Notamacropus eugenii: one gene and its partner. The protein of the gene in region 1 binds, or shares a complex with, the protein of each later gene. Links are inferred from orthologs where the notes say so. Each region holds a gene or a part of one and is shown on either strand. Other genes may lie near its edges.

Evidence for each region.
Region 2: ITPR1 (region 1) and CNN1 share a complex: the UniProt entries of both Homo sapiens proteins name them as parts of the cGMP kinase signaling complex. The link is inferred for Notamacropus eugenii from reciprocal best matches to the Homo sapiens genes ITPR1 and CNN1.

Annotation. Positions count from the first base shown.
Region 1 is NC_092874.1:441,491,275-441,499,396, reverse strand, and holds the start of ITPR1 (inositol 1,4,5-trisphosphate-gated calcium channel ITPR1), read left to right. Parts: upstream 1-4,928; 5' UTR 4,929-5,108; intron 5,109-5,949; 5' UTR 5,950-6,025; intron 6,026-8,122. UniProt on the Homo sapiens protein: Inositol 1,4,5-trisphosphate-gated calcium channel that, upon inositol 1,4,5-trisphosphate binding, mediates calcium release from the endoplasmic reticulum (ER).
Region 2 is NC_092875.1:78,383,138-78,390,891, reverse strand, and holds the start of CNN1 (calponin-1), read left to right. Parts: upstream 1-4,528; 5' UTR 4,529-4,642; coding exon 4,643-4,705; intron 4,706-6,786; exon of another isoform or gene 6,787-6,838; intron 6,839-7,754. UniProt on the Homo sapiens protein: Thin filament-associated protein that is implicated in the regulation and modulation of smooth muscle contraction. It is capable of binding to actin, calmodulin and tropomyosin. The interaction of calponin with actin inhibits the actomyosin Mg-ATPase activity.

The DNA of each region.
Region 1 (8,122 bases):
GATGGTGGGCCAGTTACTGAACCTTTGTGTACCTCAGTTTCTTCATCTGTAAAAGGGAGATGATAACGGTATCTATTTCCTAAGGTTGTTGTGAGGAATAAATAGGATAGTATTTCTCAGTCTACTGCCAGTTGTCTTGATTTTTGTCTTTCCACTGAACTTTGATGACTCTAGAAGAGAGAGTGAGGCGGATGACTTTGTGCAAGTCGGCTTCACTTGAATCCAATTCATGCACAAGTCAAGGCAACGTCCCACAATGTCACTGGTCCTCTTTGGAAAGGAAGGACAAACAATAACATCTCAGAGTGCTCTGATTTCACCTTCTTATATTCAATTCAGCAAAGAAATACCAAGGAAATTACAGGTCCCTATCCCCTATACATAAATGTAAGGATATATGTTGTATATCTCTATATATGTAGATATAAGTAAGTATATATGTGTTTATGTATGTATGCATACATACACACACATATGTTATCTCCCTCTATAGAATGTATCATTTTGTATTTTATAGAGGGAGAAACTACGGTCCAGGGAGAAAAAGTTCTTGCCAAGATCATGCAGACAATAAATACCATATGTGACAGGTGTACTGCATACACTAGTAGAAAGGAAATTTAAGGACAAACTGGTATATCGTAGGTGCTTAATAAATGCTTATTGATCATAACCAGTGTGATATGTTTATTGAAGAAAAAGAATTAGTCAAAGACAGCACGTTTTCAAGCAGAGATCCGATGCAGCTAACCATGAAAATAGCAAAGGCACTGAAGATTTGTGTAGCCTTGGGCAAGTTGTTTGACCTCTCTGGGCCTCACTTGTGTCATCTGTAAATTAAGGGGATTACTCTAGATGGCCTGCGGGGTCCTTTTCAACTCTAAATGTCTGAGCCTATGTTCTGTTCTGTAGAATGATTTGACATTATAATTGAGCTGAGTTCCTGGCCTCAGGTAAACAGTATGGCACAGTGAAAAGATCTTGGGTCTCTAGAGTCAAAAGACCTGGATCCAGACTCTACCTCTGATATTCACTATTTGTATTACCTTGGGCAAGTCATTTCACTTCTCTTTCCTATTCTGCAAAATGTGGGGGTTGAGCTAGATCACTTTTGAGTTTGCTTCCATCTCGATCTGTAATCAAGCCCATTATTAGAAGGAAAAGAAAATTTAAAGGGAAAGATTAGCTTGACTTTGAACATGTTATATTTGAGGTGGTTATTACTCATCTAGGAAAAGATGTGCTCAATAGGCAGTTAGAGCATACAGTTCTGGCTAGGGATCAAGGTCTGGGCCAGGTCTGCATCTGTACCCTGTCTCTTGGGTAGCACATTTGATTTTGAGTTGCTGTGGAACATCCAGGTAAAGCTGAGCCACCAGTCATTGGAAATGTGGGTCTGGAGTTCATCACTGGGGTCAGGCTAGGAACCATCTGCATAGGAATCAGAGTGAGGCCCTAGGAATGAATAAGATTGCCAACAGAGAGAGTAGAGGGAGAAAAGGGAAGAGGATCAAAGATGGAGCCTTGGGGGAACAATGATCTTAAAAAGTAAAGGAATTAGCAAAGCGGGGAGAAAGAGCCCAGTCAGATGAATGAGAGGTCTTTGAAACCCAGAAGTAGGTGTTAGCTGCAGTCAGATGCTACAAAGGAGGTCAAGGAAGATGAGGGCCTTTGGCAAAAACTAAAACTTCCTTCTCTTCACAGATTAGGGATGGGCAAAACACTCTCACTCTGATTATATCAGAACGATCTTGGTAGATAAATTTTTTTGGTAGCTGTCAGACTCCAGGGTTAGTGATGTCAAACTGGGCCAATCACTTTTAGGTTGTGACTTGAAAGGTACCAACTGACCCCTTTCTCCCACCCCTGAAATTTCTTCTATCATTCTGCCACTTGCCTGAAATTCTGGCCATTAGAGTAATTTGTTTGGGTTAATGTTTCTCCCCCAAACCCTTACTAAAATGCCTGGAAAGGATGATGCATAAAACTCTTATTGTGGCCTACCATTGCCACCTTTAAAAATAGAGAAGCAGGACCTTAGGTGATGAGACAAGCAAATTCTCACCTGGTGAAGTGATACTAGGGAAGAGAAAGATGAGATATATTTAAGCTCTGGGGACTGCCAAGGAGGGGAAGTATCTAATATAATAATGTGCATGTGATAAGTGTTTAATAAATTTTTGTTGAATTGATTTGGGCTGCAGAGGAGAAGGGATCTAGGTAGGACTGGGGGTGGAAAAGGAGTCTGGTAGCTTGGGGGGGAGCATAGAAGCACCGGGAACTAGGGGGAAAGTTGAAAGAGTGAAGGTAGTTTCAAAAGGAAGGAGGGAATGAAAACAAAAAAGGAAAGGAACATGACAAACTTTGTGGACTTTATAGTTTTTTCTACGATAAAGTGGGCTAGCAGGTGCTTTTTACAAAAATGATGAATGAAGTGTACAGTCAGTCAGTGATGCTGCTTCTCCTTCCCCCGGTCTTCTACTTGTATTTGCAGTGATGTTAAAATCATAGAGGAGCTAGATGGCTACGTGGATAGAGTACTGGGCTTGGAAACAGGAACACTTGAATTCAAATACAGCTTCACACACTTATTAGCTGCGTGATCTTAGGCAAATCACTTAACTTCTATTTGCCTTAATCTACTGGGAAGAAAATGACACATAAGCATCTTTTTCAAGAAAAACCCATAGAGGGTATGGTCCATGGGGTCATGAAGTGTCAAACAGATGCCTAAAACCAACGTGAATTCCATTGAAGCCCTATAACGATGCAATATGGGTAGATTTCTGTTGTTTTTCCTTTGGTTAATCTAAGGTAGTGAGAAAATGACTTGACCAAGCCAACAAACTGATTTAACCTGGAGTGATTTACCAGGTGTCCAAGGCTCAATATAGTGTCCTCCGATGGCATTTAAAGCCTTCCAGAACTCCTCTGACATTTTACAAACTGGTTCCCATTTACCTGTCCAGTCTTACTCTTTATTATTCCCCATGATGCTCCATCATGCCACCAAATTGTCCTTCCTTCTGTCCTTCAGACATGGCACTGTCCTCCCTCTATTCTTGTACTGACTATTTCCCATGTCTGGGATGTACTACCATCCATGGCTTCTTAAAATTTCACTTCTTTCAAAGCTCAGTTCAAGGGCCACCTTTAACAAGAGGCTTTTCTCAATACCCCCTCCCCACGCCACCCCCCCCCAAGTTAATGCCTTAATGCCTCACTCCAAATTGTCTTGCTTTCTATTTACTGCACCGTATGTCCCAAAAGTCTTAGTTCAGCTTTAAACTTTAATAGCTTGGATATGCACTAAGACTTTTGGGACACGGTATTATGTACCTGTATATGTATTGCCTTCGCCATAGAATGGAAGCTCCTTGAGGACAAGGGCTATTTCATTTTTGTCCTTGAATCCCCAGCGTCTAGCGCAGAGCCACGCACATGATAGGAACGTAATAGATTCTTGTTGGTTGACTGATTGGCAGAGGGCACCTTTCGTGGGTGCTATCACCCTGGGGCAGAATGGCCTGCTTTGAAAACAAAACAAATGTGTGTTTTAACAGTTATCAATGCTGAAAGCGAACCCGCAAGCCGCTAGTTTATAGCCCCCTGCTTAGAAGCTTTGGAGGGGGGCAGGAAGTAAGAGGAGGAATGAAGATTAGTCCTCTGGCTCCAAGCTCCTGCCCTCCAGTCTGCTGCTTTGTCAGAGACTTAAAACGACGCTTCGAGTTTAGGTGCTTTCAGGGCTGCATGTCGCCCTCGATGGTTCTGATTTTGTTTGGAATGCTAGTGTTCGCGCTCGTGCGTGTATTCGCTTCCAAATCTCTTCATTAACAAATCGTAACGTTCATTGGTTAGCCCCGGATAATCAAGTTTTCATACCGCCCGCCCCTAGGTAGAAGAGTCCCCAAGGACTCGCCAGTGTGTGCCCGGTGCCCCATGTGCGCCCCTTCCGCGAGGTCCGTCCCGTGTAGACCCCCTCGGATGACCCCCTCAGCCTCCCATGCAAGTCCCATCGCTGACATGCCACTCCAGGGCTGGGGTTTGGGAGTTAAAGGCAACCTTGGGTCTTCATCCTTCAGTCGGAGCTGGCATCCAGCAGTCACTAAGCCCTGGGGATACAGAGAAAAGCAAGACTGACCCCCGCCCCAAACCAACCAACCAACCCAACCAACCCCTCGTTCTCTTTTCCAGGGGAGCGCGCCTTCTAACGGGGGAGCGACTGCACTGGCATTTTTGTGCGTTGGGTGGATTTTTGAAGTTCTTGGCCAGGGTGTATTGGCCCAAACTGGAGTTGACAGCCCATTAAAATGAAACAAAGCAAAAACTTCCCAAAATATAAGTCTAATCCCGGCCCAGAGGCTGCCTAAGAGGCTATCCTTCGAGGGTCTGGGGTGGGGAGGGGCCCGGGAGATTGGAGGCACGCCGCCTCGGACCTTAAGGCTCCCAGCCCAGCCTGCCAGGGCAGGGTCGGGAAACTGTCTGGTTCCTAGAAGACCACACAAAACGACCCTCCCTCGGACCCCGACAAGCCAGAAAGCTCCCACTGCTCTCGCTTCCCCAGAACTCTCCGTTCCCCAGATGCCCCAAAGCCAGGGAGACTATTTGGAACCTCAGCCCGGGAAACCCGAGGCATTCTGGGAATTGTAGTTTTGTTTCACCGCCGGAGGCGCCTGCGAGACCCTTGACTTGGACTACATTGCCCAGGGAGCCACGAGGGGTATATAAGCCGCGGCGAAGCGGAGCCCAAGTGCAGTAACCATGTGGATGTTCTGCTGAACCGTTTCCTGCAACTCACAGGGGTGGGAGGAGGAGGAGGAGGAGGTGGTGGTGGAGGTGGCGGAGGAGAAGAAGAAGAAGGAGGGGGAGGAGGAGAAGCAGCGGCCGGAGGAGGAGCAGAGGGGAGGTGGACGGAGCGAGAGAAAGGCGAGGCACCCGACGGCACGGCACGGGACGGGACGGGACGAGACGCAGGAGGGTGGCGAGCCCGCGTCCATCCTAACGGGACCGAGCTCCAGCTGCGGGGACATGGAATGACAAAGTAGCTGCTAACGCTCTCCGAGCCCGGCTCCCGAAGCGAAGCGGGCACCTCTCCTGGGGGCGACGAGGTACGGTCTCGGGCCGGGGGACAGCGGCCAGCGTGCAGGGAAGTGGCCGAGGGAGACGGAGCAGAACTTTTCTGCTCCGCCCTCCCCGGCGCTCGGGGCTCCGCAGGGTTCGGGGCTGCTGGCACACAGCTGGAGTGCCCTTGTCAGCGATCTGCCCCCCTACCCCCTTGGCATATAGGTCCCCCCTCCGCTAGCCAGAACAACTGGAGGGTTCGGTCCCGCTCCCTCTCCCAGCCCCAAGTTAGGAGCTAGGAACCAGTGGCAGGAAATAGGTCCGGGGGTGAGAGTGTGGAGGGGGCAAGGCAATGCGCGAGTGTATCTCCTTGAGGAAACAATCTTGGGAAAAAAATCCTCCGGCTGCACGCTTTGGGAAAACCCAGGTCTGTGGGGTGCCCGTGGTGCCCGGGTTGGGGGGCTGGGAAAGGTGAAAACGGGGGCCCGAACACATGAGGTTTGGGAACGTAGCCTGTTTGTGTTTGGGAAGCCGGCGGAGGATGCCCAGCATCGCAAAGGATGCCATCCCCTTCTCCTGCAGCAAACAAGTGCTTGGGGATCTGCTCACACTTTTCCCCCTGAACTGTTTGAATATTGCGGAGATGCGAGACCTAGAGTGTTATCTGTCGCCTTTATGGAGTGCGTGCCTGGAACAGAGAAATTCCCTTCAGGTTTTAGATCTGGGCTGAAGCGGAATCGTGGAGGGTCGGAGCAATCAAGTTTGTCGGAGGTCACCTGAGCTAAGAGATCTTTCTTGGTGTCGTCTTGAACAGACACCGCAAGAACTGACATTCTGTGGCCCTTGTAATGAGTCATTTTTCTTCCTTTTTTTTTTTTCTTAACTCAGGCGCCGACCCAGTGGAGCAGGAGCCGCACCACCCCAGGTTGGGTGTTCTGTAGATACTGCTGGCTTACTGTGACAGGTGAGTGCAATTAGTAATGAGCTTTGCTTCCTAACTGCCCCCTGGCCCTTAAAGCTGTTAGAAATGGGATGAAGGAGGAGAAAAGACTGTGGGGCTTAGGCTGGTATTGACTGTTCACCTTGCTGACAGTTGTGTGGAGCACACTCATGGCATGGGGTAGTTGAGTTGCCTTAGGGAATCAATCACTACTCCAGCACCCAGAGTCACAATTGCAGTGGGCAAATCAAAGATCTGTAAGAAGGTAGAAGGCATTAAATGGAGGAAGAAAAGAAAATCTGACTTGTTAGGTGGTGTGCATGTGATTTAAATTTTCAAAGTTATACTGTGTTTCATCTGCCAAACATATAAGCAAAATTAACTGCCTCAAAAATAACTTTCTACCAAGTGAATATGTGCTTGTCAGTTTAGGATTGGATGGGAAGAAAGGATTGTCTTTGGGTAAATGAAATAATCACAGCTGATTGGGTTTGTTTATTTATATTGTAAAACTATGTCAAATCTAGACATGAAGGGGAAAATATCAGCACTCAGCAGATGGCCTGAAGCCAAGCACATGTCAAAGGATTCAATAAGTTAATGCTGTTGTAGTGCCTGCTGTGGGATGTGAGTTGGGGCCAGGGTTTCTGCTATAAACACAGGCCCGCCAGCTTTTCCAGATTGGCTTGAGATGCGTTAGTGGAGGGAGGCTCATACTGTGTACATACATCCATACAACTGTAAGCTTGCCCATCTGAAGTTTTCTTCTTAAATGGTCAAAAAACAGGGCCACAGGGGGTGGATGGGTCTTGGTAACTCATGTAACAGTCTAAATATTTAGCTGTTCCCTGGGCTACAGTCTTTGGGTTTTTCTAATTTGAAAAGAAAAAAAAAATCAGACACTTCATTAAAGAGGTGTAGCGCTTTTGTTTCCTGTTGATAAAATTCTCCAGAGTGCTAAAGGAGTGGGAAGCATTTGTAATCTATTCATCTGTATTTGTGGAGAGACTGGGCCCATTAATTCATGTGGTGCTAATGAGGTTAAAGCTGGGAGTTCCATCCCCTTCCTGACCAGTTAGCTCTGTACTGAGCAGAGCAGCTTCATAGCCACGGATTGGCCCTCCCTCTAGGACCACAATGCTTCTCAGATGCCTGTTTTTGGGTCAGAGATAAGGACATGCCAACAAATTCTCTCTATCATATGCTCCATATCCTACCTGTTTATAAGAGCCATATATTTTTGGTTTCTTCAGGGACTAGAATTTTCTGGGATGGTTTCTTGCTTTCTGAAATCAAAGGAAGTTGCTTGGGGTTGTGACAAAGAATGCTGGATGGAGAATTACAAGGGCTCAGGTTCCCCAGATCCTGGTTCTGCTTCTTATTTGTTGCCTATGTAGGTAAATCTCATAGGCTCTCTATACTTCCATATCCTCATCTGTAAACAGGGATAGGGGCTTCACTAATGACCCCTGAAGCTTCTTCTTCTTCTATGCCTGTGTGATCCTGTGATCCTATGCAGATTGAGTGTAACATTATTATCAGAAAACCTGGGAGAATTTCAAAATTTGTCACCTAGAGGATGGATCACTAGGGCCTGCTTGGTCTGTCCAGGTTGCAATCTCAAGAAGAGATGCGTGATTTGGGAAGAAAGCACTGGGCTTGTTAGGAAGCAGTATGGGTCTTTTACTATGAAGTTTTGGATTTAAAAGTCTGAGAATATAATAACTGGTTTCAGCTTAATTCTTTGAACCACTTTCAAAGTGAGATACCATCTTCTGCTAAGTGTTTGCAGGCAAAAGCAAGTGATCATCATAATAAATGGCTAATATCCTATAGTGCTTTAAAGTTTGCAGAATGCTTCCCATGAGACTAGAACATATCATCATTTATTCGTTCATTTTGCAAATACTGTGAGTTCCAGTTCTAACTCACCGTAGGACCTTGACAAATTCGAGTCCCTTTTGTTGGCTTGATTGTCTTTGAAATAAAAGATCTGGACTAGATGGTCTCTCAGGATTCTTCCAACTGATGAAACAGTCTTATCATTCTGATTTATGTGCAAGGCATTGCTTTAGACTCCAGGGAAGATCCCAAAATAATAAGGTATGACTTTAGTCCTTA
Region 2 (7,754 bases), on another chromosome or scaffold:
TTGATAAAGGAAATTTTTAACCAAGATGAACTTTTCAACTTCTTGATTGCATTTTTCTAGAAAGAGTGAAGAATATATCCACTGGAACTTTGTTGAGAACGCTAAATTCAACTGATTAAGTCTGCAAGGCTCGGCCTACTTCCATGAAGACTTCATTGGTTTGATGAAGGATCTGTTTAATTGATGGGGAATGACACTGTGACAGATTAGTTCTGCCTGGAGCAATTAGACTCTTATGGGAAGATCCTTAAAAGATAGTCATCACACCTCTTTTCCTTCCCTTTTCTTCTGGGACGTTCTGGAAAGCACAATAGTTGCTACCTAAGAGCAGCTTTGCAGAAGCACATGGCAAGGCAGACATATTCTTGCCTGAGTAGCCTGAAAGGGAAGTTCCCAGATCAAGTTGTTTCTGGACCTTTGCCTTTAGTTGTAGAAGGTGGGGGGGCGGGGAGGGGAATTTCACAGGCATAATTCAGAAATCTGTCCTAGCCAGAGAAGAGAGATTTCCTGGGCAATACCAGTATTAGAGGTTACCTTTGCAGCAAACCCAAGCATAAGAAGAGTCCTAGAATCTAGCCTTAAGACAGAGCCTTAGAGACAGAGAAGAGGATCATGAATCTGGCTACTGGTACTGGGCAGAACAGTGGCAAGGGACCAAAAGCCACAATATAGAGGACCAAAGGGCCTGGAATTTGTACTCTGCTATTAAAGGTAGCTATGCAGACAGTGAAGGTCATCTGGAAAGTCAAGTGATCCAACAGCACCAAATTTCCCTTCCAGGGGGAATAGTCTAAGACTACTAGGTCCAGAAAAAAATCTACACAGAAAGCAAAGATGGTCCAATGAATCTGGGGAGCTAGGGGAAGGATAATACATTCTCTCCTGTGGGAAGAGGGACACACCTGAATATTGTAGGGTAACCCCACCAGGGACCTCAACTAAATATTCCTTTGGAGTCTAAACCACAGGCAGGAGCTTCTGGTATGGAGGAATTTAGGACCCTGGTGGAAAAAAATTCTTTTGATAGTTTATGAGCTATTATGAGTGGTTTAATGTGTGTTCTGAACTTGTTTATGGGCTCCTGAGTCCTTTGTATTCTCTGCATTCTGCATGTCTTATTGAGGGATAAAATAAAGACTACTCTACACTGGTTAAATGCATTTGCCACCTTTAATACTTGTAGGGGATCTGAGGAGCCTTTTATATACCATTTGTAGACCTAAATGGTATTCAGAGATTTCCTGGAGTAAACTCTGGGAAAAGGAGAATATTTGGGCCAGGCCCCAAGATCAGACCAAGTCTGTTTAAAGAGATTGGGGGTAGGGGAAGGGTCCTGGAGGGGACACAACTATAAATATTACTTAGACTCTGCTTTTGAGGAGCTTACACGGGTTCTGGGTTCAAATAGTGACATTGCTACTTGCAAACTAGGTGATCTTGCTGCAAGACAACTAAACTCTTAAGAGATAGAGAATGGGTCTTAGAGTCAGGAAAGACCTGGATTCCAGTCCAGTCTTAGACCAGCTGTGTGGTCATAGGTGAATCTGTTAACCTTTTGGTGACCCTCTTAGACGGTAAGTAGGGGATGAATTGCAGACCTCTATCAATGGGAGAAGTTTCCATACTGACAGTTTCCTATCACAGTGAAATCACAGGTCCAGACTAAAACAAACAAATAAACAAACCAAAAAAAGAAATGAAACTGAAGGGATCAGACTATGTTATGTGATTGCTAAGGTCCCTTGCAGTTTTAAAAATTATGAGTTGGACAACATAAATATCACACATGTCAACAGAGAGAGGTGAAGAAGAATTTAAAGTTAGATAAAATTTCAAATAGAAAAAAAATTAGAGCTCATTCCCCAACTAGAATATAAGCTCTCTGAGGCCAGGAACTTGTTTCCATTTTGAATTGGTGTCCCCAGGTCCTACCATAGTGCCCTTCACAAATAAATGCTTGTTGGATCATTTTGCAGGTGGAGAAACTGAGGCCCAGAGAGAGGTTAGGTGACTCGTCTATCCTCAAGCCATAAAGGTAATGAAGTAAGTAGCTTACAGTTCTAGACTTGGGGGCAAGGCCTGGGCCCTTCTAGCTGGTCTGATCTGTGACCCCAGCTTGTCACCTCTTTCTTTCTCCTTGCCTGGGAACAATGTAATGAGCCCTTTTAGAACCAAAGACAAGAGGGATGTGTGTGTGTGTGTGTGTTTGCCCATTCATCGCTTTATAAAGAGATGATAAAACCTCTTACTCCATGACAGGGTGACCACCTGTTCCTTAGTGGGGGTGGTATGGAAGTGACAATGCCTATTGCTGAAGGAGGGTCATTACTCAGATGTTCTAAATGTACATTGATGGTGAATCACTCCAACCTTCCCAGCATCCCACTCCCCATTATCATAACTGGAAGCACTTAGCACTCTTCTCCCTTCCTATCAGTCATCTTCCCATTGTACCAAAAAGAAAACAGGTGGAGAGGGAGGCTTGTGAACATCTACAAAAGACCTCTCATCCTACCCACCAATTAGGGCTGTCTTCCAGGTTTTCTAACATGGCCTCTATACCCAGTGTTCATAGAGCTTTATCAGATTATGCTGAAATCCCTAAACCCCCCTCCACTAATCCTCATTAAAGATGAAGACCGATTGGGAGGCAAGGGAATCCACAATCATGGTAGAAGAAGAGACAATTTTGTCCTGGGGTTGGGGGCCTTGGTTTCCCTGAGGGGGGGTGGACACTCTGGAGGGCCTCAAAGTGGGCCTTTCCAGGGGTAGTGGCAGTAGGGGCCTCAAGGGATCACATCCTCCAAGCCAGGCTGATGGTGACTTCAGAGCTGAAGAGGTCCATTCTATAAATGGTGAAGCATACAACAAAAAGAAGAGAGGGAGGAGAGGATGGCCCACAGCCCTGACGCTGACGCTGTGTTAGTCACCCACAGACATCATGTCCAAGGGATTTAGATTGAATAGCCTTTTACCCTGGTACACGATCCAAGTTCCTTCCTTCGGCTCATTCTCATTCTTTTGCACAGTACTAAGAGTTGGGAGTGGCCTTAGAGATAATTTAGTGACCTCACCTAGGGATTCCTCACCTAGGATTCCCTGGACTTGTTTTTAGATATTTTGAGAAATGTTTTCCAATAGGATTTAGCTTGCTTTGTAGCCCTACGTACTTGTTTTATGCATTTCAAAACAGGATTTTTAGAAGAGGTCCACACACAGGCTTCACCAGACTGCCAAGGGGGTCCATGACTCACAAAAAAGCTAAGAACCCTATTTTAGTCCAACTATTTCATTTACAGATGGAAAAACTAAGGCTAAAGGAGGTAACACGCCCCAAGTCTCATGCTTAATCAGTGCCAGAGCTGGGATTTGGATGGAGACCAACTCCAAATTCAGGGTTCTTCCTACTGTACCCCACTACTCTCCCTTGGTGATCCCTTTGGAGGGAAAGTTCCCTCTCCTTGTTCTGAACACTCATGGCTTCCCATCCCCCCTTCTCCAATGCAAGGGCAGGATTCCCAGAAGGGGAGAAAAGCTGCCCAAGGGGAAAAAAACCACAAGTGTTTCTGCAGAAAAAGGAGAGCCTTATAAGGTGGAGGGGGGACCACATAAAGTCCCCTCCCCATCCCATCTCCCAGGGTGCTGAAAGCTTCCAGGAAGCCTGAGGGGGACCCAAGACTCAGAAGCCAAATTGGCCCTAAAGAGCCTGGGTCTTGACTTGGGCCAATTACTCCCCTATTCTCCCCCTTACCCTTTCTGCTGATCCACAGATGCCCAGGAATTGAAGGCAATGATGGGAAGGTCTTAGTCCTCGAACCCCAAAGGGTGGAGGATGAATAAAAGGAGGAAAGGGACAGAAAGAGAATCAGGAGAAAACAGGGATTGAGAGAGATATAAACTCATCAACTAAGACAAAGCTTCTAGAACGCAGGAAAGATGTTGAATAGGTGCTTAATAAATTCGGGTGGGACTTAACTGCCCCAGAGACAGTCTTTGACAGCGTTTATCTCTGAGTTCATCTCTGTCTCTCACTATAAAGTGACCTCCATCTCTGGAACGGTCACAGAGAGAGACAAATAGACACAGAAACCCAGTACAGAGTGCCAGACATGGGCAATCCATAGGGTTAACCCAGCCTATGGGGGGGATGGTGCCTGTTGTCTCAGACTGTCCCTGTCCCCAGCCCTATTCCCGTCTCCAAATGGCTAGGTCCTCCCCAGGAATTCTCAGCTGGTTACTCTTCCACACTCCCCCCACCCCCCTTTCTGGGCTAAGAATGACTATAGCCGGGCCTCCCCTCCCCTCCAACATCCCTCCCCCCACCAAGGTGGAAACAATGACTGCATCGGCTCCCAATACCAGGGGCCTGACATCACGGGGTTGGGGGAGGGGGGTGGGGTGGGGGAGGGGGGACTGGCTGACGTGGGGGAAGGGGAGGGGGGGATTGCTTCTCAGCCATTGGTGGGTCCTCTGGCCCAATGAGACAACCAGCCAGGGCTCATATGGGGAAGCCCAGAGTTCCAGCTTTCAAAAAGTTGCAGGGAAAATTTGAGGCCACTTCAGCAGCAGCAGCAGCAGCAGCAGACAGGCACCAGGAGAAACCCAGGCCAGGCTCCCCTCCACCGGCAGCAGCACCACCAGGATGTCTACTGCTCACTTCAACCGGGGCCCTGCTTATGGACTGTCGGCTGAGGTCAAGAACAAGGTAATTACCTTAACTCTATCATCTCGCTCAGTTTACCCAGGGTAGGATTCTTAGTCCTTAGCCTCCAAGGGAGAAATGTCATGTCCCAGGCCCACCTCCTGCCTTCCAGGCTCTGAGTTTCTTCCTCCTCCTTCAGTACTCCCCAGCCCCATCACTCGCTCTGGTTCTAGGCACCTGGAGGGAAGGATAATAAGGAGACTAATCCAGGGAGCCAGGCCTAGACCAGGGAACGAGGGCCACTGTCCTGAAGACCAAATGAGGGTCATTCTTGTCCAGCTCAAGCCCTGGATCTTTCTACCCACACCCAAATGAACTACCCGCACCATTCACTAGCTTCTGAAGTTTCTGGTCCAAAACCTGCCAGTGAGGAGTAATGGGGGCTCCCCAACAGTGATGAGATCTGAGTGAGACGAAGAGGAGAGGAAAGGAGAGGGTTTGGAAGGTGGAAGGGACAAGATGGAAGATGGAGGGGTGGAAGGGTCAGGGGAGAAGGATTGGAGGGGAAGGAGAAAGGGCAGAATGGGCAGAGGGGAACAGGAGACAGAGATTGAAGGGTCAAAGGCCTAGGCGTCGAAGGACTGGAGCAGGAAAAGGGTGCAGGGGAGAGGGCCAGAGTCTGGAGAAAGAAAGTTTGGATGGGCAGTAAGAAGGAGGGGATAGAGAAGAGAGGTTAGTGGAACAGGAAGTCCAAGACATGTCTGAGGGGTCTAGGTTGTGGGGTGGGTCCTGGTGCCTGAGGGAGAGAGGGCCTCAGCTGAGTAGGCCTTTTGAGGGAGTCCGGATTTGCTCAAACACCAATCTCATAACACTCCTCTTGGGAATATCTCCTCCCTAGAAGCCCTTACCCCCTGAGGACAGGATTTTGTGCCCTACTTTGTACCCTGTAGTTCAGCTTTTCACACCCATTCTCTTGTATAAGGTTAATCTTAAAGAGTATGGTGGGTGAAAGAAGGAAGAAGGGGATAGATTCCCCATGGGAGGAGAGGTACCAAACAACTAATGGTCCAGGAGAGGCAGGATCCTTTCCCTCAGCATCCCCCATCAGCCCCAGCTGAGGGCATCCCTCAGCTCCAGGGCCACCTGCAGGGAGATGCCTTGACCAGTAACTGAGAAATTTTAACTCTTCCACTATCCCTCATCAGACAGATATTAAGTCCTGGACCCCCGAACCCCAACATGGGGAGCAAAGCTGAATCTCAGAGGTTCTGAGTGACAATGAAAAGGCAAGAAGATATTAGGAGGCATTGGGACTATTTGGATACTTGGTTCTGAACTGTTATCATGAACTCTTCTAGAGCTCTGGGTTAGAAAACTCCCAAGGAGGTAGATCACCTTGTCACCTGCTTGAGCTTTTCCTGTTCTGGACTCCCAGGAGAACAGACTGGCTATGTTTTTGATGACAGGTGGCTGGGAATACCCAGAAAGGCCAACCTGTTGATAATGATGGCTAGCAGGAATCATCTCCACCCCATCCCCCAACAAGAGAACATGGGAGGCTTAAGAAGTTCAGACTGACTTCCAATCATTGTAGACTCCTGTTTATCCTCCAAATCCCCCAGGAACCTTTCTTCCTGGGTCTCAAATAACCTCACAGAGCAGCACTCTTCCTGATAGCCCCTGTCTCCTTTTCTGATGGAAAAGCTCAGTTCTTTGGAGAAAGAAACTTGGATGGGGGGAGGAGGATTGATCTTGGCTGGTGGGGCTGATGTCTTAGCTGGGTGGGAGAATTTTAAAATCCCAGACCAGCAGGAAAGGATCTTAGAAATTATTTTGTCTAAACTTCCTCCCTTCTCAGACAAGAAAACGGAGATTCCCCAGGGAATAAGGGGTCTTCCCCCCTCCCCCTCTCTTCCCTGTATAACAGAATTGGGAGAGAGGGGGAGGGGGGAGAACTTGGACTGCCCATCCCCCACTGGGACCCAGCTCCAGACTACCCCCTCTCTCCCTGGAGCACCCGGCAGAGCAGCCTCTCCATATAAGGATGCTCTGGGGGAAGCTGGGCAGGGAGGCCCAAGCTCTATATAAGGGCTGGTTTGCTTTATAAAGCAAACCGGAGCTGGAGGAGAAGTGGGGGCTGGGGGACCAGAGGGAGGGGCCGTTGTACAGGCTGGCAACGGATGCTCCTCAGGCCAGGTGAGTAGGAAGAATGGAGAGCTAGGCCCCTCCCCTCTTGTGGGAATCTGGCCCAATCCTTCCTCCCCCTCCTCCTTACCCCACTGCCCTGCCAGGGGCAGATCAGGCACTGGGCACCCCCTGCTGGCATGTTGGAGACTAAGGGGGCAGTGCTCAGGGCAGGCTTTCTACTTCCAACCCTCTTACTCCCTCTATCCAGGTCCAGAAGCCTTGGGGGAGGACCTGGGAGGTTAGTGGCCAAAGTGGGTGTTGAGATAGCCAGAGGACTTGTTTAGCCTAGTGAGATCATGATGGCACCATGTCTACATACTCTGTCTGTTAGTCTCTCTCTCTCTCACACACACACACACAAACACACACACACACACACACAAACACACCTCAAAACCCAGCATTGCCATAGGATCACCTGTCTTAGAAGCTATCAGCCATCTATGGAATTCCTGGTTGAAAGACTGGAAATGACTTCTCAGGATCTTCTCAACTCTGAGATCCGGAGATGTAGTTACAGAGGACTGGAGATGGAGAAGGTAGAGAAAAACAAGCCCCAGAAAGATGGCCAGACACATAGCTATCCTTGCATACTAACACACACACACACAGAGAGAACCCTAGGGAGAGACAGGGAAAGAGGAATGGGAAGGCTGCAGAATTAGGACATGCACAGTGAAACCCAGTGGTTGGTATGACCTCAAATGATGCTTCTGTGCTCAGGCCTTCTGCATTAGGTCCTCTGTCAAGACCCATGCTCAAGAAGGGATGAGAAGGGAAGAATCAGGGAATAGGGGCACTCAAGTTTGGTTAAGGGGATTGAAAGAATAACTTCCTCCCCTCCCCTGGGGCACTCCTTACATTTCTGCCCAATCCTTCCCTATTTCCCTATGCCAAACCTCTGGTATTCCTGGAATGGGCCCCC